4 linked regions of the Diceros bicornis minor genome follow. The protein of the gene in region 3 interacts with the protein of the main gene of each other region in a biochemical or structural test. Links are inferred from orthologs where the notes say so. Each region holds a gene or a part of one and is shown on either strand. Other genes may lie near its edges. The genes, in order: IER3, ESR1, MAPK1 and MBP.

What was found.
Region 1: of the proteins of MAPK1 (region 3) and IER3, one has a biochemical effect on the other in vitro, tested with the Homo sapiens proteins (2 studies listed by BioGRID and IntAct). The link is inferred for Diceros bicornis minor from reciprocal best matches to the Homo sapiens genes MAPK1 and IER3.
Region 2: of the proteins of MAPK1 (region 3) and ESR1, one has a biochemical effect on the other in vitro, tested with the Homo sapiens proteins (3 studies listed by BioGRID, with this or other methods). The link is inferred for Diceros bicornis minor from reciprocal best matches to the Homo sapiens genes MAPK1 and ESR1.
Region 4: of the proteins of MAPK1 (region 3) and MBP, one has a biochemical effect on the other in vitro, tested with the Homo sapiens proteins (16 studies listed by BioGRID and IntAct). The link is inferred for Diceros bicornis minor from reciprocal best matches to the Homo sapiens genes MAPK1 and MBP.

Annotation. Positions count from the first base shown.
Region 1 is NC_080753.1:34,380,540-34,387,038, reverse strand, and holds IER3 (radiation-inducible immediate-early gene IEX-1), read right to left. Parts: upstream 1,806-6,499; 5' UTR 1,773-1,805; coding exon 1,563-1,772; intron 1,473-1,562; coding exon 1,212-1,472; 3' UTR 511-1,211; downstream 1-510. UniProt on the Homo sapiens protein: May play a role in the ERK signaling pathway by inhibiting the dephosphorylation of ERK by phosphatase PP2A-PPP2R5C holoenzyme. Also acts as an ERK downstream effector mediating survival.
Region 2 is NC_080778.1:16,963,465-16,970,398, forward strand, and holds the start of ESR1 (estrogen receptor), read right to left. Parts: upstream 3,001-6,934; 5' UTR 2,942-3,000; coding exon 2,490-2,941; intron 1-2,489.
Region 3 is NC_080774.1:30,335,451-30,343,238, forward strand, and holds the start of MAPK1 (mitogen-activated protein kinase 1), read right to left. Parts: upstream 3,017-7,788; 5' UTR 2,817-3,016; coding exon 2,701-2,816; intron 1-2,700. UniProt on the Homo sapiens protein: Serine/threonine kinase which acts as an essential component of the MAP kinase signal transduction pathway. MAPK1/ERK2 and MAPK3/ERK1 are the 2 MAPKs which play an important role in the MAPK/ERK cascade.
Region 4 is NC_080755.1:65,461,264-65,468,761, reverse strand, and holds the start of MBP (myelin basic protein), read left to right. Parts: upstream 1-4,489; 5' UTR 4,490-4,670; intron 4,671-5,113; exon of another isoform or gene 5,114-5,377; intron 5,378-7,498. UniProt on the Homo sapiens protein: The classic group of MBP isoforms (isoform 4-isoform 14) are with PLP the most abundant protein components of the myelin membrane in the CNS. They have a role in both its formation and stabilization.

The sequences.
Region 1 (6,499 bases), on a different chromosome or scaffold from region 3:
CTGGAACCTGGGCCCGCGCTCGCGCCCCCCACCCGGCCGCACCCTGTTGCAGCAACAGACACAACCCCGCCCCCGCGAGGGACCACCCTCCACCCCTCGGCTCCGCGCGCTCGGCCCGCCCCTTTCCCGGCAGGCACCGCTCGGGTCCGCAGCCCGCCGTCCGCCCCGCCCACCGGGGCAGCCTCGCGAGCCGATCTTCCCGAGCCGGAAGCCCCGCCCAGGCCGCTCCGCGCTCCGCCCCCGGGCGCGGGACTTGACCTCCGTGGGTCACCCCAGGGAGATTGCCTCATCTCGGGTTTGCCTCGCGCTACCTGGGGAAACCACAGACTGGGCAACGAACGACTGCATCCGGTCACCGGATGCTGGGTTCCGTGACTCCGGGAAGAGGCGCTTCGGGGCCCGGGGCAGAGCGCCTGCTGGGGACGTGGCCTCCCCACCCCCCCGCCCCCCGCGCCGGTCCCTGGCGCCAGAAGTGGGGAATTGTCGCTTGCAAAGACACACTCAAATGACTGCGGACAATAATCGAGTTTATTTGTGTTCACAGAACATACCGGGCGACCCCACAGCCGCCCCCTGACAGCTCACTGACCCGCGACCCCGCAGCCACCCCTTGGGGGCAACTTCGAAGGGCTCGAAGGCCAAAGACCGTATTCCCAACGGCCCGCCGAAGCCTCACACAGTAGACTCGCGGCGTTGAGATGCTGGAGGACGAAAAGGGCCAACCGTAAACCTGCGACCCACCACCGGCCTTGACTCTCAGCCCGGGGGCCCTCCCGGACCCGGGTCCTCTCCATTCCCTCTCCCTGCTTCCCTCATTTCTAGGCGCCCCGCCTCCATCAATCCCATAAAGCTCAATAAATACCGAGAGATCTGCACTTGCAGCAAGAGAGCGCATCTCGCTCCCTTGCATAAGTTAAAATAAATATTACATACACCCCTCCATCACCTAGGGGGGACATACATAAATACATATAAATATTAATGAGGAGCACTGAGAAATAAATTAACGCCGCTCTCCTTCTCCGCCCGGCCCAGCCCTGGCGTGTCGCGCTTGCCTCCTCCTAGGCGCGGGCTGTCGTCTCCGCTGTAGTGTTTGCTCTGAGTCTGAGTTGCCTCGGGACTCCCAGTTTGGGATACGCTCTCGCGCACCAGGTACACCTGGTGTTTCTTTAATTTTTCAGGTTCTTTTACGGGAGTGTGGGGAGTCGCGGTTAAAAGGCGGCCGGGTGTTGCTGGAGAAACGTGCTGAGGTCTAGAGAGTAGTCCGAGGGCTCCGAGGTCACATTAAGGGGCTCGAGGACCGGGGACGCAGGGGTAGGCGCGGGGGCCGCGGCGCTGGGGGCGACCTCCGGGGCCAGAGGTGCCGGCACACCCTCTTCAGCCATCAGGATCTGGCAGAAGATGACGGTGAGCAGAAGAAAGAGGAGCCTTTTGGCAGGGTTCGGATCCTCAGCGGGCAGTTGGCGCCGGACCTGAGGGGAGGCAACAAAGGGAACAGGTCAGCTCAGGGCCCCGGCGTCCAGCCGTTCCCCCCCCCCACTGTCCACTTCGACGACACTCACCACTCGCGGGTAGAGGACCCTGCGGCTGCGCTTTCGGTGCCCACGGAAGGCGCTAGGGCGCTTGGCGGGGGCCGTGGCGGGCTCCGGGAGAGGGTCGAAGGTGAAGATCTCGGGACCGGAGCCCCGCCTGGGCCCCGGGCTGGTGGAAGGGACGGAGGTCGGGGATCGCAGGACGGTCATGGTGGGAAGGGAGCTGCGGGAGTGACACATTTTGTCCCAAGCGAAGCAGAAGACCGAGTGCGGAGCGGCAGCTGCGCTGAACTAGTTATACTCGCCAGAGAACTGGGCGGGCCCTTTTCGACTCCACCCGCGGCCCGGAGCGGTTGGCCGGAGCCGAAGCCGGCTGGAAATTCCGCGGATGAAGCAAAGGGAGGGGGTGGAGAGTTGGCCTGTGCAACCCTAAGCACCCAAGTGTGTATGGAGAGTTGTGAGTGGGGATGGGCGAAATGCCGGGCTGCAGGCACATGTTGGGACATGTAGCAGCTGGAGAGGGTCCCACAGAGAGTTTAGAAGATGGTTCAGCCACAGGCCGCATCTCTGGGGAGGCAGGAGGGCTTACATAAGAAGTCTGGCCATCCCAAACTGCTGGCCACAATACTGACCCAGCAAGTCAGGGAACCACAGTTACACACGCACATTCACACACTTGTAAATACACATAGAAAACACACACCCGACGAGGGAAGTCAGTAAGAAATAGCCAAGAAGAAGAAGAGAAATGAACACGCTAGAACACACAGACACAACCCTGCCTGCCTTAGCGGGCACACACACACACACACACACCCCCCCACATTGTTGAGGCGGAAACATTTTTCCTTCTTTTTTTCCTTCTAGGTTCTTTGGTTGGTCTAATAATTAAATTGACATAAGAAATTAACAGGAGAAAAACAAATTTGCGTACCTATGGGAGCCTACCAAGACAGGAGACTCAAAGGCAGTCAAGCAATTGAGGCTTATATGCCATCCTGAGCTAAGAAATGGGATAGGGGCCTGGGGCTTTGAAGGGGAGGGGGGCAATTCACAGGAAGATAAGGAGAGCAGGTGTTTGGTAATCAGATGCTGGCCCTACCATGCAGGTAAGTCTTTCAGATAAAAAAGTTATCTCTGGTAATAGCTCTCTTTTCTGGGCCAGGCCCCCTATCTAAATTCTTTTAGGCAGTTAAGGGAGAAGTAAAAAGTTTTTCCTGAGTCTGCTGGGTCTTGATTGCCTCCAGCTCAAAATAATCCACATGCCGAAGTGGCACATTTTAGGGTGGCATGTTCTGATCCCCTTCAACATGCACATAACACACACACACACACACACACACACGCACAGGGCAAAAGTGCAGAGACTGCACAGGGACAACCCAGCAAAGCTACCCACTTAGATGTGTACAGAAATGTTGACACAGAGCTGGTGCAGAGGACCACAAAACACAAAGGCAAGCGCCACCCAGATTTGCCCCTTGTTGTATGGATCAAGTAACAAAATGTGCATGAAGAACATTTTAAACTGAGAGGTTACGCAGATGTTGTGGTAACGGTAATAACTCAGCTCAAGACAGAATGAACACATTTTCATAACTGCCTTAGAGACAGCTGCTCATGGACACAGATTTTAACATCTTTTGAGCATTTCTGGGGGCCAGGCATCCTGTTAAAGCCACTGTTGAGAGTACTGAGGTTGGTTTCAGCGTGTGTGCTGCTGAGTGGGGCCAGCCAGAGACAGCGGGCACCTCAGCCTTGCGGACCTTACTCTCTGGCAGAGGGAGGGGACTCTGACCAGGAGAACTCCCTGGAGGGTCCTAAGAAAATAGAAGACTAAGTATAAGGGGGACCCAAAAGAGCTAGTGTTCTAATCAATTAGGCGAGGCTTTGTGGAAGAGCAGCATTTGAGATGACCTTGCACAGTGGGCGGCATCATGGAGTCAGATGAGGAAGATGACTGTGAGAAAGCGAATGGAATCAGCAAAGGCCTTGAGCTGGAAAAGTACAGGATGTGTTTGGGGGAATCACAAGAAAAACAGTCCCAGAGTGAGTTTCCCGTAAAGGAGAAGTGGGAAGTAATGATGGCTGGAAGGAGCTGGGCAGAGTGGGGAGAGCTTAGCTGCCAGGCCAGGAGACTGGGTTTGACTCTAGACTGTGGAGTGTGTGGGTCACAGGATGACATAAAAGGAAGGCAGTTCAAGGTGGGAAGTGAGTGGGATGAGGAGTATGCCCTGGATGGGGAGACACTGAGGCAAGGACAGGAGGCTATTGGAAAGGTTCAGGTAGAAAGAAACAGGGGCCTGAAATGAGCCATGGCAGAGGGAACCAAGAGGAGGGGTGGCTATAAGAGACCTTCCTAGCATAAGATCACCAGAATTTAGCAATAAGATGGGTATCATTGGAGTCAGGGAGCATGGAGAGTGGGGGTGCTGACAGCAAGACGATGAGAGGATCAAAGCTGACTCCTGGGATTCGAAATACATCTGGCTCAGATCTTTACACCAGATCATATCATGCCTGGTGCACATGGCAAGCATATGTATGACCTTTTCCATTAGAGGCTGTGTCACACATATCTTTGTGTCCTCCATAGAACCCATTATTAAGAATCTTGATAAATGAAAGATGAAAATGCAGAACTATAAATGCACATATAATATTCACACACTGGCTGGATCACCGCAAGCTTTTGGGACATGGACACACTCCTTCAAACTCCATATACAATTTACAACATCTTAAGAAAAGCTGTGATAATCCTTATACAGACACCAAATGAGGAATACTTAAGGGCATTTCTCAACCTAGGATATGTGGGGAGGCAAAGGGGACAGCCCCACAATTGGAGATACATAATTACTGTATATACAATTGCTTCCTGGGTCTACGTGTCACTTTATTTTACACCCACTACTCCTGTCTAAACACACGAGGCCCCTTGAGCATTACACACTTCTTCCTGACAGGCATAAAACCCACCTCCTCTACAAACAAAGACACATCCCTTTCCCACGCCTACCATCATCTTTACATTTATAAAACCCAAGCACAGTGAGCCTGCACCCCAACCTACACCCTTCTTCTAAGACAAGTGGCACACTACACAATGATCAACATAAATACATGACTACTTGTAAGTGTGGACAGGCTCACATGATCACAGAGACATAAATTGGGAGTGAGGGGAGATGGTGATGATAGAAGAAAACTGGCTGGTGGGAGAGAGGGGGAGGCACCCAAGGTCAGGAATGCATAACTTGTTTATGATGGAAAATTTCTCCAGGGCATTAGGCAGGGGAGGGGAAATGAAGGGAAGATGTCAGGATCTTTGTTTCACTCTACCTCCCACATCTGGAATCCAGGCCTCCAGCTGGGCCTGTTTATCCTCACCATCCTCCTGGCACAGAGAGATCTTTCTTTATGGCAAGACCAAAATGGGACAAAGAGAAGAAGCGGAGAACCCGGATGGCTGGCCATTCCTTCTCAACCAATCCCATCCCCATTCCTGCTACCTTCAGAGAGCCAGGGCTCTGCCCCGCCCCCTCCTGCCACACAGGAAGCTGGAGAAAGGTTGAAAGTGAATTATTAAGCCATGAGGGGATGTGGGTTGAGGGCTGGGGGACGATTTAAGACCAGAAAGGACCAGGGGCTGAGACCAGCAGCTGTACCGGTTCTCACTGCCCCAATCCTACGGGAACAGGCCCTTAGCCTCTTCCACTTCCAGCTTTCCTCATTTCCTCCCCATCTTCCCAAGATCACAGTGTGCCTTCATTCTCCTCATTTCTTGACCTCCCATAACCTCTTTCTTAGCCCGTTGTTTATTTTCTTCGTAACACTCACCACAGTGGGGAATCATTTTATGGATTTGTTTACTTTTTGTTGTTGTCTGTCTCTCCCACGGGAATATAATCTCCTGGAGTATACAGGACCACATCCGCCCTTCCCTCATGATAGCTCTGTGGGATCTCCAGGACTTGGCCTTTCACCTAGTAGGGGCTTAATCAGTATTCTTAAATCGGTCTCCACTGAGGTGTCTGTATGGCTGTGTCCCTTCCGAGGCCCCCAAGCTTCATCTTCAAAGAGGAGTTTGGGAGATGCTCCACTGAGGCTCAGGGGGACCTGCCATTGGATCAGGACTAACTGTGCAGGTGACACATGGCAAAGCCCTCACCCTTCATAAGTCCCTGACATAAGAGTGAGTCACACCTGCTGCTCCACCTGGAGTACTGCTGCATGGCTGACCACAGGCTTGGCTAGGGGACAAAGATAATGGGAAGGAGGCAGAATGGGCAGGGGAGATGGAGACAGATATTTGGATGTGGGAGCTTCTGAGAGAGGGAAGCAGGGATACAGGGATGCAGCCAGGGGACTCAGGGAATGAAAACTGGATGCTCTGAGCTGGACCTGGAGGTTAGTAGATGTGGAATAACTATTTGTCCACTTGAGAGGAGTTTGAAACAGAGAGGAAACATGGGGTAGCAAAAAGAGCATATTATCATCTAGTGGTGTTAGAGGAAACTGAGTTTAAATTCCAGCTCTGCTGCTTATTAACTATGTGATATTGGGCCAGCTACTTAACTTCTCTGAAAATGTTTCCTCAATTGAAAAGTGGGCAACTTGGCTGTCAGGTTATTGCAGGGATTAAGGATATGATTACACTGCTCCTAGGCACACAGTAGGTGCTTCTGCTGTGGTGGCCATTATTATGGCTATGGGAAGAGGGCTACTTTGAAGCAGATGTGGGCAGCCATGAGCTAACCTAGGAGTAGGAGACCAGGATGAGAAAATAGCCTGCAAGTGCTAAGATCATCAAAGATACAATTTCTCTTTTTCTTTTCATCCCCTCTTCCCTCCCTCTCCATCTCAGGCAGGTTTTGTGGCTTTTTCTTTTCTCCAGAGAAGCAGTCTTCTGCGTTCCTAGTTCTTGTTCAGCCAATGCAAGTGATTTTAAACACCCTTCCCCT
Region 2 (6,934 bases), on a different chromosome or scaffold from region 3:
CAACCCACAGTATGAAATATATTTTATATCACAGTCAGCACACACAAGTATGTATAATTAAAACAAATTTTCAGGAAACAAAACCCACCCTTACTAAATATTATGCCCTCTAGTATATTCTCTTATATTCTTTTCTATTTTCTTCCTTAACAACACAAAGTTCTAGACTCATTAAACTCATTTTCATGATACTCTAGGTCATGACAAGCAGTTTGAAAACACTGCTTTCGGCCCCTAAAACTTTTTATAACTACTGAAGAAAGTTAAATGTTCTTTAAACAGTCTAATCAATTCTTTTCTTTTTTACCCAGAGTTATTCAAACAGGAAAAGTGACAGGGAAAAAATATTAAATAACATATGACCATTTGAAACCACACTTGCATAGACCCTTCACTTCCTCCCTGGGTAATAAGAGGCAGAATTCAAACAAAAAAGGAAGGATGCTACGGGAAGTAAACTACAAAGGAAAAATCATTCTAAAACTGAATTTCCACACAGAATCCCATTTGCGTGAGTTTTTTACTTTATTTTTAAAAGTTCTGTGTCATTTCTTTTATTATTCTAGAAGTATTTGAATATCATCAAATGCAAAAAGTTTAAGATGGGGCATATTATAGTTATATTATCTGCTATGGGATGATGAACAATTTTGAATAAAATGTGATCCCCTCTTCATTTGACCGTGTTCACTTCGTAATTATTAGCAAGGCAGTAAATAATCTACCAAGGAGCAGTCTCATTAGTGCCCATTGAATTTCAGTGGCATTAATTTGCAATAAAAGAACTGAAAATTAAATGGAAAAGAAAATAGTTTCCGGAGTCCACCATAAGGTTATGGAATTCATCTCACACCAGTGCCTTTCTTCACATCAAGGAGTTTAAAATGTTGTGTGAATTAGACTTAATCGTTATATTTTGTTCTAACACTTTTTAAAGGGAGGGGCAGAATAAATTCTTTTTCTCTTTCCATTTTAACCCTGAATTAAAACAAGTGAAATTAATTTGAAATATGCCAACTTTTTAAAGTTTTGTTCATCGCTTGTCTTTTAAATAATAACTCAGGCTGGACCTGCTTAGCTGTGGGATGCTTTTAAGTCCTTTGAGGAGGCTGAGGGATATAAGTATGTTCAGATACCCCAAGAGTCTGCCCTTCAGTATTCTCTGAGGCCAATCTGCACCTTCCTCCTGTTTCTTCTGCTATAAATATCCCTGGAAATAGAATACTAAACAGAAAACGGTCCACAGCTGGCAATGCAGAAGGATCTGGGCGAGGGCAGGAGGCAAGTCCAGACACCAATGTACCGTCAGGCAGTGCCTAACTCAGCGCCCAGCCACGTGTGCGCCCTGGAGCCTCCCAAACACACTTCAGGGTATCTGGTCCAGCGGGCGCCTAGGGCACAGGTATTCAGAAATACACACCCTTCCCAGGTCCATCAACAAGAAAAGGGAGAAAGGAGAGGAGCAAGGAGGAGGAAAATATAACGTCTACTAGAAAAAAAAAAAATAAGGACACAAGTCACAGGGAAGTCACAGAAGTGTCCCCTGTGTCCTGGACTGCCAACGCTTCTTCCAGAGCGACTGAAAGGTGAAGAACCGAGCTGACCCGGCACCCGCACCAGGGGCATTCTCTGCCCGGTAGGCCAGAAAGGGAACTTAGCTGGCAGGAGAGTATTCCAAAACCTTCGTGTTTCGATATGGCATGTTTTAAACTCACAGGACACCTATAAATTCCCGGCTGTCAGAAGTCATATGCCAGCAATTTGCTTCAACACGGACCCAGCCAGATAACTGGGAAATCAGAAACTTGTTAAGACCCATTCAACCCCTGTATTGCTCTCCTGAGGAGCGCAGTTCAGTCCTAAAGCCCTGGAGCGTGCGATGGGAGGAGGGAAAGCAGGTGCTACAAATCTCTTCCCCCAAAAATCATCATCATCATCATCACCACCATAGTGGGCATGTTTCCAATCCGAAATTCTAGATGAAAGGTAATTTTGCAAGCACATTAAAAGAAAATTTTAAAATACTAACAACAAATGAAACTCTGACGTCCGCGAACCCCAAACACCTCTAGCCCGAAATACCACAGCTGGACATTTACGAGGGACTCAGAGAGCCCCGTGTTTATTTGCTTTGGGGTGTTTCCCCCGCAAATAACTGCTGCTCTGTACGGCTTTCCAACATCTGCTTAGTCAGGAAGCGCACAGGGTTTCGGATCTGCCTGTCACGCAGACGGCAGCGGGTGAAGAAGAGAATCTTTTTAAGCCGCCCGGGGAGAGAACTTGACGCTCGGAAGGCGAGATCCGCAAATCGCTCCCGGGCCGGCCGCGCGCGGGCACTGGGGTGGCGCGTCCCGCGGCTCCTGCGCCCGGGGCCCCGCGGCCTGCGGCCTCCGGCGAGCTGGGGCGGCGCGGGCCCCGCTCCCCGCTCCCTCCCGCCCGCCGGGCGCGCGGCGGCCACCCCGACGTGGCGCGGCGGGGGGCGCGGGTACCTGTAGAACGCCGGAGCGCCGGCCTCGCGCAGGGCATAGCCGCTCGGCTCGTCCTCCAGGTAATAGGGCACCTGCTGGCCTTGGGGGTGCAGGTAGGGCGAGAGCTGCGGCGGCGGGTGCAGCAGCATCAGCGGGCTCGGAGACACGCTGTTGAGCGGCGGGAAGCCCCCCAGGCCGTTGGCGCCGAACGCCGCCGCCTCGGACCCCGGGCCGTAGGCGAGGCCGGACTGGCCGTAGACGGACGCGGAGGCGGCGGCCGCGGCGTTGAAGTCATACGCGGCGCTCTCGGGGTAGTCGTACACGGGGGGCTTGCTGCTCTCCACGTACACCTCGCCCAGGGGCCGCTCCAGGGGGATCTTGAGCTGCGGGCGGTTCAGGGCCTCCAGCTCGTTCCCTTGGATCTGGTGGAGCAGGGCCATTCCGGATGCTTTGGTGTGGAGGGTCATGGTCATGGCCAGTGGCCGCGGGCAAGGCGCATACCGTCTCCCCGCGCGGCGGAGGGCTCAGCAGCCGGCCGGCCACCTGGAAGAAGAGCACAGCCCGCGGTTAGAGGCGGCGCAGCGCATGTCCCGCCGCGACACCGGCTCTGGCCCTGCCCCGGGAGCCGGCCCGTCCCGTGGAGCCCGCGGCCGGACGCGAGCAAGTGCAGCCCCGCGCGAGCGCGCTCCGCCAACTCCCGGGCTCGGGTCTCCAACTTTAAGTACCGGTCTCCCGAGCTCATATGCATCGCAAAGGTGCTGGAAGGCGGCCAGCGGCTGTTGCCTTGCCCTGACATTGGCTTAAACATCACTCCGGGCGCAACTTGTTTTGGAGCGATCCCAAAGAGCAGCTTCCCTGAACTTTACTTTACTTGTCGCTGCTGGATGGAGGCTGAACTTCAGTGCAGGAGGGCGGGGGCGCCGAGCAATCTCCTAAAGGTGGCCCAGGGAAGATGGGGTTTAAAACATACTCGGAAGACTAATTCAGGGGCCGGCTTTCTCTAACGTGCTGCCTTATGTGCCCCGTGCCAGACTCCAATCTATCTCTGTTTGTCTCTCTCTCTGTTTGATTCACTCTCCTTGTTGGCTGGAAATATGTAGTGTGTACATAGAATGACCCTGGGGAGGACCACTCTGTAACTGAGATATGGCAGATAGAATAGGGTGTACGGTTGCATATGCAGCCAGCCACAGACAGCTATATTTAGCAGCTGCAGGGACTGACAGAAGGCATCTAGGGAGAAGCGGGTGGAGATTTAAGGTGTACATATAGGAAGAGCTGCATTTTGCAATCTGGAGAATGCTGACGGACCTCAGTTTCCTTATCCGCAAAATTCTTCCAAAGTGGTCCATTCTAGCCAGGACCTTCTGAGATTCTCCCAGTCGGACTTGTATGTTTGTGTTGGACCACAGCACTGTACTTCCTCCCATTAGGAATTCTCATGTGAATGATGATTCACAAAAACCTTTGGTTAGGAGCACACGGGGTTCGTGCCTTCCACAGGTTATGCAACCAAAACTTCAGAAAACTGAATATGAAATGTGACCTTTTCATATAAGGCGTAACCTCAGGTCATTAACCAAATTCTTGGCAATTATGTTACACTGTTGGTCGAACCAAGAAATTTTAAAATGCAATGGTACATTTCTGTTCTTTAATTCTACAACTGGACCTTCTCGGTTCACTTTGGCTAGGATATGCAGAATCAAATATCCAGATAAAAAGGAATAGAAAAAAGTTTTGAACTGAATTAAAAGGTAAGCATACACACACACACATATATAAACAAAAACATAAGGTAAATATACTGTGCACCCATATTCTTGGATAGTTTATACTTTTTAATAAACTTCCTTTGCCCCAGCCTAATAGACTCTGATATGACCATCAGATACAACCGTTAATACTTTGCTGTAATTGCTATCCGAAACACCCAACAGAGTACCTGACAAATCTTCATGGCATATAAGGATGCCAAGGTTGCTGTTACTAATGGCAATATTTTTGGATATTTTAATACTAATAAGTACACATTTTACCTAATTCTTACAAGAACAGACAGACTATTGGGGGACAATATGCAGATGTAGCTGATTTATTATGAAGCTAAAATTGAGCTTAGCATCAATAACTATCCATTGTAAGCAAAGAAAGGGTTAAAAACACATTAGGTGAATCACAGATATTTCTCTTTATGGCCAGCAACCATTACTTTCCAAAGCAATTTTTTTACAGATGATTTCGTTTTCGTAAATTACACTTCCAATTTTCAGATGTCTTTTTTAAACACATGCAAAAGCACTTCATAGGGCTCTTAAAAATCTGAACCTGCCAAATTATATAGAAATTGCACAAAGAATCCTACAAGTCTTGAAAGAAAAAGGAGACGCACACATAAACCCATGGAAAACAGCAAATCCTCATCTCCCTGCTAGGATACAGACACTGGCCAGAAAGGTAAGTTGCTTTCTCAAAATGCTCAAGCTACGAAGAGAGAAATCAAAACAATCCTACCCTGCTGGATCAAGAGCGTCTTTCCAGAAATGTTCCATGGGCTTGGAGAAGTCAAGGGCTTGACAGTGAGAAGGGAGGAAGGAATGTGCTCACATGTGCGGGTGGCTCCGTGTGTGAGCGAGGCAGAGCGTGTGTGGATGTGTTTGTGTGTGGAATGGCAGGGATTCGGGAAGCAGCCAGTAGGCAGGGCACTTGGCAGCCCCTCCCGGCAGACACAGCAGCTGGGCTGCTGCACAGAGCTGGATGAATGGCAGTGGAGAGTGAGGAGAAGCTTGCTGTCTGCTCATGGGGAGCAGTGTGGCACAGCTAGAGTCAGCATTATTGGGGAGAAGCAAACTCCAGCATCCTTTGCTCCTTATCCTGGGAGCCTGAAAGTGCCCCATGCTTTCCACTGCCATCCTGAGCAACAGGGAGAACAGGCTTGCTGTAAATCATAGGCTTACGGCTAAAATAGAATGCCAGTCAAAAGTATATGGCTATCAAGTTTACAAAATGTGACATGGGTGGTTTCTCCTGAAGAATATAATTTAACAATAAAGGCCTTCTGGGATACGCTTGGATCAGATGCCTTGCTGGCCCAAGCTCCCGGTCTCCGAACAGACACACTATTGCCATGCCTCCGATTGCACCAGGAAACCAGACTTTGGAATAAATGTTTTGGCATTCTAGGGATGTGTTTCCAGCTGAAATGTAATATTCCTCCACCTCATCAACCAAACCCACAAACCTTTCCACGAATAGCTCAGTTGACTGTTTTCTGTAAACATATGAAAAAATATGTTATTAAAAGCCTGGGGTACGAAGATAAGACAAAGGTGGGTGCCTTTGTTTTAAACTGATTTTAGGCTCTCTGGTTGTGCCAGCGTTGATCATGGGGATGGGGCTCTCATTTCCCAATGATGCCCACATGGATCCATCTGGTCTTCAACTTTTCTCTTGACCATGATGCTAACACACGATAATAAGGTGTTCCTAGTGTGCCCTCGCCTAGGGTTTCAGGACATGTGACACCTAGTGGACCCTTTGCTGCCAAACATTAGTCACTCCCTTGGGTATTAAATGACCCTAATCACAATGCCAGGAGTGGCCAGTCTCTGGCCATGAGACCCTATGCAGTTACCGAGAGATTTATGAGTGGCTCTTCAGACCACTCTGAAGTAAAGAAAGAAGTAAAAAGTTATTTGAAAAAAAAAATTACAAAATGTTAATGATGTCATAATGCCAAAATTTATTTTGTACTTTGAAAGGCCTGAAATATTGCTATATTGGAGCACAGAAGAACCCTCTCTACAATCAGCGATAAAGTCAAACACTGAAAAGTAAGCCAGTTACCCTTTGTATGTAGGTGACGATGGTGAATCCTGACTCCTCCTTTGCGTCAGCGGTGGCCACCCATGCAGTAGACCAGTCCAAAATAAAACAAGAATGTGCAAGGAAGGGAGGAGAGAGAAGGGAAGAGAAGGAATGGGAAAAGGAGAGAAATAAAGAAGGAAGAAGAAAGAAAGGGAGAAAGAGAAAGGAAGGGGAATCTGCAACTATTCTCCTTGAACGTAGGAAGGATACGATGTCTAGCTATCTCTTCATAGACTTTGATTATTATGAGGCTAACGATGAAAGTTAGTCCAAGATGTCCAACAAGGGCAGTTTTCTTAAACACTTTCTCTCCAGCATTCTCTTTCCCCTCCTTGGTAAGATTCGTCCTCCAGGCTTGGTGATGGGGGTGGGAAAGGATACTGCACCTTGCCAATTTTCTTCTAGTGCTTGTTTGCCAGAGGACTTTGAGGGCTGTCTTTCTCTTGCCTTCCATATTCTGCAGCATTCGAGCTATGCAATCTCTCCCTTTTCCTTCCACTTCTATCACCCTCCTTCAGCCCATCATTCCCTTACCTGTTGTAAGAGCCTCCTAGGGACCTCTGCTTCTTCCCTCCTCCCACTTCTTCCCAGATTCTGCT
Region 3 (7,788 bases):
TTTGGGGGAAAAAATAAATAAATAAAATTAAAAAAAAAAAAATTTAACATTTCAATCAAGAAGCCCTCCATAGGGACCGGCCCAGTGGTGTAGTGGTTAAGTTCTCCCATTCCACTTTGGTAGCCTGGGGTTCGCCGGTTCGGATCCTGGCCACGGCCCTACTCAGCACTCATCAAGCCACGCTGAGGCGGCACCCCACATAGAAGAGCTGCAACTCTAGGACTATGATACACAACTATGTACTGGGGCTTTGGGGAGAAAAAAGAAAAAAAGAGGAAGATTGGCAACAGATGTTAGTGCAGGGCCAATCTTCCTCAAAAAAACAAAACAAAAAACAAACAAACAAAAGCCCTCCATAAACCCAGTACTGTTAATCAACATTTACTAAATGCTAATAATGTATAATGTAGATTAAATTCTTACTAGGGTATATCATCAACCTGAAGATAAAAAACTATAATCTGGACCCAGGATTCTAATTCCAATGATATTCATATTTTACTTAGGTAAAGGAAATTACAGCAAAAGTACTTGGCACTTCACCTGATAGAGACTTAGGTCAAATAACTCTACAGTAGTGACAGAAACAGTTACTAGATCTAAATCATCTAAAGACTAGTAAAAATCTTATCAGATAGGAAAAAAAACTTTCAACTGAAATGTCCTAAATCTAAAAATTTTTTCAGTCCATATTTCAGGTGTTACATTTTTTAAAAGGGTCAAAGGAATGTGATGGCCAATTGTGAGCCTTTCACAATGAGACACGTTCACAGGCGTCCTCACCAGCAGGTGCAAGAGCAATCAGATGTATGCAGAGAAGTGATGCTGCCGGCAGTACTTGCTCTCTGTTACTTTCTAGGGCCTTATTTCTTTTAGACTTAACCTAATTTAATTTCTTTTTCGGCTCCTAAGCCTCTGAGTTCACATTAATTTCCACAGTTGGACACCATGAAGCATTTTGCTCCAGAAGAAAACGAAAATATTCAAAAATCTGTTAGTCCTTTTTTTTTTTTGTGAGGAAGATTGGCCCTGAGCTAACATCTGCCAATCCTCCTCTTTTTGTTTTTTATTTTTTGCTCAGGAAGACTGTCCCTGAGCTAACATCCGTGCCCATCTTCCTCACTTTATATGGGATGCCGCCACAGCATGGCTTGCCAAGCGGTGCATCGGTGCGCGCCCGAGGTCCGACCCGGCGAACCCCAGGCCGCTGCAGCGGAGCGCGCGCAATTAACCGCTTGCGCCACCCGGCCGGTCCCTATTAGGCCTTCATTTTAAAAAAGAATTTTAATGAGTCTTTCTGTCTAGCTATGATACCTAGTAACACATGCTCTCTATGGCATTTCTAAAATTATAATCATTCAAATTTAAATGTGTTTCTAAAATAGATTTGCTTATAACAGTAAAACATACTAAAATTCTAAAATTACTAATAATACTATTTAAGGAAAGCAGGGAGTAATAGGAAGAGCTGCAGCATTTGAAGTAGGATCTCAGTCTACAATATCAAGTCTGACTCTTTAGTTTTATGACCTTAGGGATTGGCTTCACCTCGAAATACTTTCTCACCTGAAAGAGGGATATTACCACCTCTTCCTCTCTTGAGGTAGCTGTTCATATAAAATGAGATAACGTACCTAGCACAGTACCTGCCAAGTGTTCAATAAATATTAATTTGCTTCCTACAATCAACACAAAAAGACACAAGAAGATTTAGCTGTAAGATTTAGGTGTGTCTTCATCAGCACAAAACACTACAGCTAGTTGGTTCTAATAAAAACAATACCGTCACCTCCATTCCACAATCTGAGGGATCTGGATCAAGATGAGAGAGCCTGCACGTGATTCTGCAACAACTCCATTAAGGCTGTATATATACTGACCACTAAAACATTAATAGGAAAAGTCCACAGTAATTGTGCTAAAACGTCTGGAGACGTTTATGCTGATAAGAGCGCTCACTCGAGGCAAAGAAAAAAAAGTCAAATTAGGCCCAACTCCAGATGACTCCTTAATAAATCAAGAGAGCGATGCTGGCTTACTCTTCCTGAAACGCAAACAGTAAAATATTAAAATCCACTTAAAAACTTCGAGATTGAAATATTCCACAAACAGCACTGGTGCCGCTAATGCTTTTTAGAAAGCCTGCGCAGGAGAGCACCATTAGCACCACTAAAGATGTTTCATGAAAGCCGTTCGCGGAAAACACAGGCGACGGGAGGAACATCGTATGTGATTATTTCGGCATTCTGTACACACCCCGAGGCGAACCGCTTTCAAGACCACGGCCGCCGCCACCACCGACAAACATCTGAAGGAATTCCTGGCTTTACAATCGGATGTGCAAAGAAGGCTGGCAAACTGGGGGACGGGAGGCGCCACCGTTCCCTGCCCGGGGGTCCTCGCTCTGAAATTCGCGCTGCGCCCGGTTCCGGGAGTCCCTGGTCCCGACCCCCGCCCCCCGCGCCCCTCCCCGCGGCGGGTGAGGGTCGACCCGCGAAGCGCCGCGAGCAACACGCAAACCTCGCCCGGCCCCAGGGCCCCGCCCGAGGCCCCCGGTGCGCGGACCGCGGCGAAGCCCGGGGTCGAGGTCGCGGCGGCGCAGGAGGCCGAGGCGCGGACGAGGCCGCAGCTGCGTCCGCGGCGGCCCCGGGCGGTGGGCGGCGGGCGCGGCCGGGCCTGCGGGCGAGCGCGGACACTCACCACACCATGCCGTAAGCGCCCTCGCCGATGTACGAGAGATTGGTATAGCGTGGCCCCACGTCGAACACCTGCCCGCGGACCATCTCCGGGCCCGCGCCCGCCGCCGCCGCCGCCATGTTGGCTGCCCGGCCGCCGCCGCCGCCGCCGCGCTGGGCTCGACGCTCCGCGGCCGCCGCTCGGCCCACGCCGCACCTCCCGGAGGGACCGCGCCGCCGCCGGTGCAGCCGCCGCCGCTGACCGGGAAGCAGCAAGGAGGTCACCGCTCAGGAAGACTCGACACCCAACAATCCCTCGAACCGACTGCCTGCTTGACTGACGGACGGGCCGGCGGGCGGAGGGAGGGGCGCGCGCCGAGGGCGCCGGGGCGGGGCCAGGCAGCGTGCACGCCGATTGGCTCCCCGCGGCCTGGGGGCAGGGCTGCGCGGGCCGGCGGAAGCGGCGAGCTCAGGGCGAAGCACTGCGGCGGCGGCGGAGGCACCGCCCTGCGTGGTCACGTGTGTTCGCGGGGGAGTCGGCGCGGGAGGCGGTTCCCGAGATGCAGGAGGTTACGGAGGCGTTGGACAGATTTGGGACGTGGCTTGCCAGACGGTCAGGGGAAGGGAAATACCCAGAGTGGGGGTTCTGGCGGAGCCAGAGAGCCCCCGGGGACTGCGCGTGAGAGACGAGGACGCGCCACACACGGCCGCGGTCTGCGCCAGGCGTGTGCGGGTCCGTGGTGCACACACGAACTTAGAGGCCTCGAGACGAGGATAGGAACCGAAAGGCGTGACCGAGACCGAGAAAGACGTTTGCGTACTAAGAAAGTGTGAAATACAAAGGTCGAGACCAAAAGGAGAGACTCTGAGAGGATCCGTTACTCAGACAGAGGTTCATTCAACGAGTGTTTGTGAAGCACCTGCCATGTCCCTGGGCATGCACCCTCACAGAAGTTACATTCTAGAAGGAGGCATAGATTAAATAGAAATATATACATATGAAATACTCAAGTTCTGGTAAGTACTATGAAGAAGTATAAGGCAGAGTAGGGAGTTAGGGAGTAGTGGAGTGAGACACTAGAGAAAGACATTGAGATTCAGAAACTGAGACCCAGATTGCACAGATGCACAGAATCTTAGACATAGGACATACTGAAGTATGAATGCAAAGATGAAAACGCTAAAACCAAAACATCCATATCTAGAGAAAATGAGACAAACACACTTGGGCTCAGAAATAGTCACACACACCAGAGGTTGAAAAGTAAAAATCGGAATCCTGAAGCAGATGAATGCCAAGAATAGCTAACACAATGAGACAGAAAATGATGGAGCCCCTGCTTCTGAACCATTTCCCATGCCATCTTTGGAGGGGGAGTCAGGGTGGGAGATGATGCATTCTGATTGTCCAATACTGTGATCTTGAAAGCCATCAACTCAGGACTTTCAGACATCAGTGAAGTTCAAGTAGTCAGTCTCAAAGGTGATTAAGCAAATTTTTAAAAAACCCCATAGGAAAAAAATATGTGGCACATGAGAAAAGAAAGAAAGTGCTAGAGCCGAAACTTAATCTTTGAAATATATTTAGTCCATGAAGCAGAACCCAGTTTTAGAAAGCACCTAATGCTTATTCTTGATTATAAGAGGACATTGCGTCTTTTAAAGAACAGGCCAAAGTAAATGGAGAGTACTATGAAATTAAAACCACTATAACCAAAGCAAAATTCAGTGGTCAAAGCAGTAAAAGGCAGATTTGATAATGCAACAGAGCAAATCAGCAATATAGAAGATAAATATAAGAAAAATTCAAAGTGCTGGAATTCTTTGAGAAGAAAACTTCATGGAGAGTCAAACTATAGGAATTCCCCTAACAGAAGTCAGAGCAAATCAATTAGAGGCAATAATTAAAATGATAATAAAAGAAAACTTGCCTTAGGTCTGAAAAGATCTGAGGTGGAGATGGAAAATTGGGTGAGTTCGCTGGGATGCCGAAAAATGAATGAGCAGAAACCAACCTCGAGACATAATTTCGGGGGTAAAGAACAAACACAGTATCCAATCAGAAAAAAAAGATTATGGTAAAAACTGGTTTTCTTTAGATTCCTCCTCTGTAATTAAATGGAAAGGAAAATGGAACAAGATTGACAGCACTCTGAGGGGGTAGGTTGTAACCCTCCTTGGAGGGTTTCATCCCCTCCAATGCCTTGATTCCTTCTAGGTCTTTAACTGTTGCTCAGAATCTGCCTCCTGAAGTTCAAGTCATCTTGTCCACTGGACAGCTCCATGTGACATCATCCTCCAAGAGCTTCAACTTCATATATCCAGACTGCCAGTGGTTAACTGGAGGAGTTCTGCACTCAGACTGCCAGAGGGTTTGAATCTTTGCTGCTCCACTTAGTACCTATATGAGCTTGGCCTCAGTTTCCTCGCTCTTAAAATGAAGATCACAATAGTACCTACCTCATAAGTTTGTTGTACAGAATAAATAAGACAATATATGTAAAGAGCCTGGCACATAGTAAGTATCCAATCAATGTTATCTGTTATTGTTATTTACCCCACTGAAACGTGTTCCTCATCTTCTATCTTGGATAGCATCACCACCCAGATACTCAAGCTGGAGGTCTGGGTATGATCCTTAACAACTCATTTTACCTCGCTCCCAACCCTCCCCCTTTCCAACCAGTCACAAACTCATATAAATTCTATTTCTTTAATATTTCTGAAATAGTTTCTACTCAAAGTGTGGTCTCCAGACCAGCAGCACCAGCATTATTTGGGATTTTGTTAGGAATGCAGCACCTCACCCCAGACCTACTAAATCGGGATCTGCATTTTAACGAGATCCCCAGGTGGTTCGTATGCATATTAAACTTTAAAAAGCACTGTTTTCTTTTTTATTTTTTTATTGATGTGTAATTAACATACAACATTGCATTGGTTTCAGGTGTACAACATAATGATTCAATATTTGTATATATTGCGAGATGATCACTGCAATAAGTCTAGTTAACATCTGTCGCCATACGTAGTTACAGAATTTTGAAAAGCACTGTTTTAAATGAATCCACTTCACCCGCACTGCCATCCTGTTGCGTAAAGCCTGCTGCATCAACTCTCACCTAGGCTACCACAATAGCCTTAACCCTTCTGCTTTCAGTGTTGCCAATCTCCAATTGCTTCTCCTTATACCCAGATCAATCTTTCCATAACACATTTGACCATGTCACTCCCCTTCCTAAAGCAAGTCAGTGGCTCCCCATTGCACTCAGAGTGAGGCCTTTGCTGACCACCCCTCCCCCACCACTCTGCTTAATCTGCCTTCCTTGTGCTTCATGCTTCAACCAGACTGGACTACTCTGAGTTCTCTTTGTCTTTCAGTGTCACCACATGCCTGTCTCTCTCCCTGTAACGTGTTCTCTCTCCACTCTTCCAGCATTTGTGGACATTTTAAAGCCACCACACTATCATGGCATGATGCATCTGACCACTAATTTTCTCCAGAGAACTTCTCTTGCGTGGTTCCATGGGAACTAAGTAACGTTATGATTAAAGTTTGGCTTCACTTGTGGTTTTTGACAGGGAAAGTGCACTGACCAGAGGACAGCCCTATTCAGGTCCTTTGGCAATTACTGTTCATTCTAAGATGGGATTTAGATATACATCAGTCTCTGCTGAGTCAGGTTAGCATGAGGCAGGCCCAGAGGGAACAATCATCTAGCTACATTGACAACAACAAATTTCTGGAAGCGCAAAGCTGAGGGCTAGGCTCTGGAACCATACTAAGCCACTATAGAAGCAGAAGACCTTGCTTGAATGGCCAGCTGGCCACCTGGATGTCTTCCTTATTGCCTCTCTAGAGTGGTGACAGTTCACAGATCTGCAGAATCTTAGAAAACAATGGACATCTGTCATTTTTGCCTATATAGCATCAACTCCTCCTCCTTCTGCTAGCAAAAAACCAATTTTACTTTGGTGAACCATCCCTTCTGCACTCTTCACCCCCAAGTCAAGAGTAAGTATGTGACCCAGGGCTCCCTAATCAGAGTCACAGATGGTTCAAAGGATGGGCATGTGACCTGATCCAGGCCAGTGACACTCAGCCCAGACTTGGCAGAAACAATGAGAAAGGAGTACTTCCTTTCTGTTGGGGTGCTACGGCAGTGAGTATGAGTCTCAGGCCAAACATGCCTTGATGTGAGAAGTGCCCTCTGAGAATGAAGGTAAGACGGGGAAAGCAGAGCCCAGAGATGGAGACAATTTCCTGATGACACGGTTTGAGGCTGTATTCAACTGAGCCTGGACTTTACAGGTTCGTGAGCCAATATATTCTCTTTTTTACTGAAGTCAATTTAAGGTAGGTTTCTGTAACTTGAAACCACAAGAGTTTGTGACTAACACACTACCCAGTTAACTCCCTTTTCTGCAAAAATTGCTCAGAATTTTATAATAAATCACTGAGACATGAATCAGAAACTCATGAATGATGAAATGAGAGAAAATTGGCACTGAGCCTTGAAACCAGCTAAAGATAGAGAGATAAGTGAATAAAAACACCACTCAGTAGAGACTGTTTGATGCTGATAAGTTGAAATAATTGTTGTCACTATGGTAACAAACAAAATGCAAAAGAAAAGAATTTGAGACAGAGGATTTTTAACCTCAGATTAATTCAATGAAAACCAGAGAGGAAGAAAGAGGGTAGAAAAAGCAAGGCACTAAGTCTTTTACATAAAGTGAAGATAAAAGTTATTTTTAAAAATAGTATAATTTTCATATTTTTTTAGTGTAAAATGCTTTATGTCTACCTTATAAATTATTATAGGAGATAAAAGGGAAAATGTAATTCACACAGCAGAAATCAAGAGTCCTGTACCAAGAAGTGTATTAGACACTTTCCTCACATTGTAGATGTGAGGAAATGGCAAGGAATCATAAAAAACAATGCCAAAACACCAAAAAAATAGATGATGGGAAGTTAAGACAAAGTGTAACAAATAAGGCAAATGTAAATAAATAAGAAAAACATAAATAGCTAAAATTCCTGTATAAAACTATGAAAATCTCAGATTAGATCAAAAGACAAACTCTGAATATGTACCATTGTAAGAAA
Region 4 (7,498 bases), on a different chromosome or scaffold from region 3:
CTGCAAAGACCCTATTTCCAAACGAGGCCCCACTCACAGGGACCTGGCAGGACGAGGACGTAGCTTTCTGGGGACACAACTCAACCCATAACAGTGAGTTGTTCTCAACAGAAACGAAGTTTCTTCACCACTTCAGGTAAACTGCAGAAAACGTACGCCTGGTGGAGGAAGGCAGATCGGGTGTGTGGGCAGGAAGGAGAGAGGACCATGTAGAGAACAGAGGTGCAGACACACAAGCCGCCTCGCCTCACAACAGGCGCCCCGTGGTGGGCAAACCTTGGATTTGATGGTCACTTTGTGTTTTCCCTCCATAGGACTTGGCGGTGGCTCTCACCTGCGGCCCCACCTGTCTCCTCTCACACAAGCACCTCCTTCGCACGTGTCGTCCTGTTTGCTGGCTACTCTTCCCTTACCCCCTTCATCTGGCTAACTCCTACCCATCCATCAAAACCCTCCCTTCAGAAAGCCTTCCCAGACCCATGTCTCACCACCGCCCCCTCACGTGGCTGCCCTTCCACGGTGCTCAGCTGGCTCACCACTCTCCTTCTTCATCTGGCTCTAAGGATGCACCTTATTTAATTGCTGAATAAATAGTTCTGAATAAATAAATGAGTGAATGAATGAACGAAATGCTTGATACATGAAATCGTCAGTTAATAAAATACTTTCTTCTCTGGAAGTGGAATCATGGTTATTTACAAAGAGTGTAATAAATTGGGGCCTGGGCTGTGGCGTCCACACTCTCGACATTTCCTGATCCCCATCCTTCCATTTATCATTCTAACCGACCTTCCAGCTACCACTGAGGCATAACAAAGCATCCCAAACCTAGTGGAGTAAAGCAACAGCCATTTTGTTATGCTCCTGGATTCTGGGGATCAGGAATTTGGAAAGTGCACGGAGCGGATGCGCCTTCCTGCTCCGTGAGGCTGGGAGCTCAGCTGGGAAGACTCAGGGGCCGAGGGGGACGGGGACAGAAGTGTGTCTGAAGATTTGTCAGCGTGCGCCTCCCCTGGGCTGTCAGCAAGAGCACACGCAGGTGGTCGCTCCAGGTGGCTGCCTGGGCTTCCTCAAAGGACGGTGGCTGGGTTCCAAGAGCGAAAGGCTCAAGAGAGAAAAGGGGAACTCCAGGGCATTGTCATGATCCAGCCTCAGAAGTCCAGAGCCTGACTCTGTTAGTGGAGGCAGTCACAAGGTTCACCCAGGCTCACAGGGAGGGGACACGGACCCCACTTCTCCATGCCATGAGTCACAGTCACAAAGGAAGGAGAATATGTGGGACTGGAGTTGGTGTCAGGCCATCTCTGGAAAATACAATTGCCAACTAACTCCATCTTATGGTATCTACTCGCCAGTGCAGTGAGCCCTAAGAAATTAACAGGTATATTGAAAAGTAACCCATACGTAGTTAGGGATCTTACTGAAAAATACAGAAATTCTAGAAGCAATTAGAATGGTAGTTAACTACCAAGTATGATATCTATTGAAATACATAGATTTCCTTCTCAAATACAGAGAATCGCTAATATATATCTGTAGCTCACTAAGAACAACTTTAATCTCTATGGATAGCAGTTTGCTTTTATTTTTATTAACAAAACTATAGAACTATGGTTAAAGAAAAATATATATACAGTATATACACACACACTTTATAAAACAGTTTAAAAATACAAGAAGTTGATGGTAGAAAAATGTATGAAAGATTTTTTTGTTTTTTCCCACATAACCAGAGACCTACAAATTTCCTTTTCTTTCTTTTTGTCCTGATGTTTCACCAGAGGTGAAGTAACAAATGGCTTTTTGTGAGTGTGTTTCTTGTTGTGTGCATGTGTGTATGTGAACGTGTGTGTGGTTGTGGTTGTGTGTGAATGTGTGTGCGGTTGTGTGTATATGTGAATGGACACATAGTTGTGTGTGTTTGTGGGTGTCTGGTTGTGCAGGCGTGTGTGGCTGAGCCCTCAAGTGTTTTCCTTGTTCATATAACGGCTTTTTTTTCTATGTTGCATTTTCTGGAGTTCGTGCACCTAATTTTCTTCCACTGACCACAGCAGAGGCCATCCAGTTATTAACTGGAATTTATGGTGAAGTAGTCAGCCCTCAACCCTGTACAGGTAGATTATCTGCTTTACGAACATCACCAGCAAATTGTTAATTACAGACCAGGATGAAAATGAAGTTCAGGTCTTTTCTAAGCAAAAATATAATTACAAAGGTAAATCTGTTGATGGGGAAAGTAAAGAAAACTCAAAACGCATGCAATCTGGTCTACTGGAAATTATTTACATTAATTTACTTACTTCCTTTAGTTTGGGTAATTTGGAGTTTAATTCGACTTAATAAAAATTTACTGAGTGTATATCATGCACAAAACATTGTGTTATTTGCTGCAGTATGAAAGACTGAAGGTTCCTTCCCTCAATATCTGAAGTGAATGAGAGGTAGAGGGAATTTGCAATATGATTTTCCTAAAAATATCGAAGAGACGATGAGGCCTGGATCATTCATCCTTTACTTGTCAAAAGACTCCCTTCAGTTTCATTCAGCAAAATGAATCTGTCATTTTGCTAAAAGACACAGGGCCATCTTTATGCAAAGTGCAACTCCCCATGGTGATGTGCCGGCCTATGTATGCCTCCTCCACCTAGGCTCCTCTCCCTGGTGGGCCAGAGGGGAAGGTGCTAAGACTGGACCTCCCAAATGCCCATCCATCGCTCTATTAAGCAGTGGTCCTTCCTCCCTCACAGACATTTTCCTTGAAGTACCCATGAATGTGGGGGCATTATATCCCCACAAAATATGCATGGTGGAATTTTACAAATACTTAAAAGAGTTTTAACTGGAGCTGGCAAGCCTGACATTTGCAGAGATGACTGTTGGTATGTGTAAAGTCTCTATAAACCACAGAGAAATCAGCAGAAGCAGCATGAAGCAGAAGAACAAAGGATGCTGTTTCAGAGTGGTCTGTGCGCCTCTCCAGCCTCAGCCTTCACCGACATCTGCAAGTCAGGAACCCCAGTCTCCTCGGCATCCCCATCTCCCCAGGAAGAAGCAAAGACACATCTGGGGAGAGGACAAGCTGTCTGTGATGCCCAAACTGGAATCCAAATGGAACCCAGGTCCTGGGTCCCCTGGCCTGAGCTTTAAGGAGTTGGGGGCGGGGCTTAAGAATGACTTGAGCCAGGGACCTAGGAGCTTCCCCAGTTAGACTCACTGCCCTGTGCGCCCTCAGTGTCTGTCAGGCTCCCTCACTCCCCCGGTTATCCATTCCTGAACGTCAGTGTGAAGGCACGGGGCAGAAACATTGGGAAGGAGACAAACTCGATGTTCCGCACAGCCAACACCCCTTTTTCCCTGCCCCTCCTGACCTCCCACCTCAAACTCCGGGAACGCCCACGGTTTCTCCTCTGGCCACTTCTCTCAGGAAACGATCAGATTACGCGTTCATATTACTGTGGACATATTTCTCACAGAATCACCAGCATCTGAACATAGTTGATAAATCCCCGGGGCTGTGAGGGCGGCTGGTCTGGGCAGGCAGCCCTGAAACCACACTAGGAGTCGGCTCTACTGTCCCCCGCAGAGCTGGCCCAAGGGACAGGGGCTCCCTGAGTCTTGCCAAGCTCCAGACTTCCCCTCTCCGTCATAAACACCGTGTGGGGCCCCGAGGGCTTCTAGGAAGTATCGTTCAATTCCCTAACCCAGAATCTAAGTCAGGAGGGAGCTAGGGTCTCAGGCGGCGTCTCTCCCCCTTCCTCCTACTTTCTCACCATCAGGAGGAAGCCAAGAATCCAGGGGAAAGGGCCCTCTGACTCCACCAGATCTGTGTGTCCAAGTGACAAACGGACCAAGAGGATGACACCGACCACAAGCCAATAGATGCCTCGGCGCCTCAGGACCCAGGTTCGCCCCTCCGACTGTGCCTGTTTTGGTCTGTTTTACCAGCGCTCTTCTCCCGCCTTCTTCGTGGAAACCTGTGCTCTCCGGCGCAGCACTTGTCAGGGTGCTGGGACCCTGCAAGGCGAATGCCCGGGTGCTCTCCAGGGCCCGGCCTGGCACAGGGCGAGCACTAGAGACGCGGCACTGACCGGGCAGTCGGAGCCCGCGCTCTGGCCCTCGGGCGCCTGCCTATGGAATGGGGCGTGGAGGAGATGCTATCTCCCGTCCCTCCCGGCCAGGTCGGGCGGGGGTAGTTTCAGAGGCTAAGCCACGAGAAAAGGTTCAAAGAGCAGTTCAGCGGCGGCCCCACTCCGGCCCCGCCCTCCCAGGGCTGACCCTGCGCCCCGGTCCCCGCGTGTCCCCGGAGCTCCGCGTGGCAAGGCCGTCCCGCAAGTGGTCCCCAGCCCGCAGGCAGCGCCGGCCGGGGGCGGCAGGTGGGCCGGGCTCCGCTCGAGTCCGCGGTGTTTACCTGGCTGGCTGGAGCCCGGGAGGCGGGGGAGGGGCGGAGACGGGGCGGGGTGCACGCCCGGCCCGGGAGCAGCAGCAGTCAGTCACCGCCGCCGCGCGCAGCGAGGACGAGCCTCCGGCCCTGGCGGCCCGCGTCTCCTACCCCGGAAGGCAGTGCCGGCGGCCCCGGGACCCCGCGCTGCCCGCGCTTGGGGCCTGGGCGGCGGAGAGGCGGCCTGGGACCCCGAGGCGCCCATCGGCCTGGAAGCAGCGAGCGCAGTGCGGTGGGTTATCCTCGCCGGGGGCGGGGGGCGGCGCGGCGCTTTGTCTCCGCGTCCTCAGAGCGGGGGACCGCGGGGACCCGGAGCCCGGGACGCGGGGCTAGAGGGGGCGGACGCCGGGGGCTCTTTCCCTGCGCCGGACTCGGGGCTTTCCCGGGCCAGGGCGCGCGGGGCTCCCCCGGGCAGCGGCGCAGGTGGAGAGGCAGGTGGCAGCCCCATGGCCTCCCTGCGAGGGAGTGGGCGCGGGTGTAGACGCCAGTCTATGGCGGCGGGGCTGGAACCCGACGGATTTCCAGGTGTGGTCTCTGGCCGGGCCGGGCGACCGGGGTGGCGGGAAGAGCGGGCGGCCTAGAGGTGGGGTTTCGGGGTGGGAGGTGACACAGGTCAAAGAGGCCGCTCTGGGCGGTGCGGAGACGGGGCTAGGGGCGAGCCGACGGGTGGGCCGGGGTGCCCACCAGCGTGAAGTGCTTCCTAATTCCCCGCCTGGAGCCCAGCGGACGACCCCGCCTCCCCAGCCCCAGACGAAGCACAATTTCCCTTTGAGCGACGAGGGCGGCGACAGGCGACTCGCCTGGCTTCCGCCTTGGCAGGGCCTGTCCCGCTCGGGCCGCACCGCTGGCAGCCACCTGCGCCTCCTGTAACCCACCTGGGCCCACCTGCAGCCATCTGCGCGCCTGGCGCCGTGACCCCTCCTGCGCCCCACGCGCCGGGTTCGTTGTTCCAGAGGGTGTCGTGTGTTCCGCTGTCACTCCGCTGACGCCCGGCTGGCTTTGGTCTTGTGGGATGCTGGTGGTCAGCGCCTCATTTCTTTTAGGGTCTACTCGCGTCCCCTGTTTCGGAAGGCGGAATGGGGTTTGGAAAAGTATTTCGGTTTCTTTGGGGATCTCCGTCAGACTGGCAGGAAACAAGCGCGTTCTGGTTCCTGGTTCTCTGTTTTCCAATTGCGACAACGTGAGAATCAACAACATGTGTTCAGTTTATCTCTGCGTCAGTGGAAGGCACGTGAGAGAGTTGGGATGTGTTGGGAGGGCTGTAAACGTGGTCCGGGGGGCCTCTGGCTGTTCTGGCAACGGACACGGACAACCGGCTAGGAAGAGAGTTTTTCAGAGGAAGGGAACTGTAGGGTGCTGCCTATTTAAGACCTGTGGGTTTGGAGAAGATTGTAGCCCGCCAAGCCCTTTACACTTTACAGACTGTCACCCACGAGTCAGGGACCACCCTGAATCCGGCTCAATCCTGCACCACAGGCCGGCTGGCAGGCCCCCCCTGCGTGACGTGGGGGCCTTTTTAGACCTTGGGGCCCCGTGTGCAGAGCTGGCGAGAGCCTGGAACAGAGCAGCCCTCAGTGAACAATGACCTGCAGGGAGGCCAGTAGCCTAATAGCTAAGGAAAAGTGCCCATCGGCGGTTTTATTTTTTTAAGTGGGATAAACGAAAACCTGAAGGGAGAGAAGGCAGTTAAAGATTACTGTAAAATGTTGGTTAATAGTAACTCGCAAGGGTTTAACTGTTCTGAAATGACTACTTTTATTAAGTAGAGGTTAAACAAAAGTTATTTGGTTCAAATCCGGTTTGAAAATCTTTCTAAAGTATCACATCTCTGCCCAAAGATAAGAAAATTTAAGAAATGTTCCGTGTTGCATGTTTAGGTGTTGGGTTGCTCCTCCGTGGTTTTGAAGGTCAGGGCTTGTGTGTCGTCCATGCTGGCAATGACTGTGCTGAGTGAAGGTGTCTACTAAAAGCTGAAAAGGAGTAGAGACCAAGCTTTCTTATGACTTCTATTTCTGCTTGAATTTTTAAACATTAATTGAAAGTTATTCTGTTTGATTTTTAGTTTCTCTCTAGATTCTTTAAAAATTAGACACAAGATTAGCAACTGCCTCTGTGCCTTTTCTATCCAAGTATCCAGGTAGCATTTATTGACCCCTTATGAATTGCGGAACTCTCTTCTGAGAGCTGTACCACGTTATTAAGAGTCAAGACGGGACTGGCCTGGTGGCATAGTGGTTAAGTTCATGCACTCCCCTTCAGCAGCCCCGGGGTCAGTGGTTCTGATTCTGGGGTGTGGACCTACACACCGCTCGTCAAGCCACGCTGTGGCGGTGTTCCACATACAAAATAGAGGAAGATGGGCACAGATGTTAGCTCAGGGCCAGTTTTCCTCAGCAAAACAAAACAAAATGTCATGACTACCTTAGGATACCCTCATCTGATAAAACTACCCTATAAATACCCTCGTTTTTACTGACGAGAAAGCCAAGGCACAGAGACACCCCAGGAGTTCAGTTCAGTTCCAGGAGTCTCCCACCAGCCCCTAGTTGCAGCCCTGCCCAGCCTCGGTGAATAGGACACCTTGCAGACTTGCAGAGCTGCCTTCCATTTCTTTTTCTTTTTAAAATCCCACCTCTAATGAGAGACCACACCCAACACAATATGCTTCCTCTTCAGAATGATTTGACTCTACGGTGCTGTCGTGTGTCTGTTAGTCATCCTCTCCTTAACTTCCTTAGCTATCAGTAAAGGAGGAAAGAAAATATTCTAATTACTTAGCATAATTTTTATTAAGTGGTTGTTAAGCAGTAAGACACTTCTATTGGTCCATTAGAGCTACTGAAGGAAGTTTAAATGGGCCTGAGTTTGGGGGCTTTGGGAGCTGGGTTTAACACAACAGTAAGCATAGAGGGAGACCCTCATGCTCCCGCTAAGCAGAGATGCTGGATGAGCAGCTAGTGCATTCTCCTGAGCAGATTTCAAATCTCCATCTAAACGTGTAGCAGTCAGGCTTCAACCAGAGAAACAGAACAAGAGGAGATAGGTGTTAGCGACTTACTG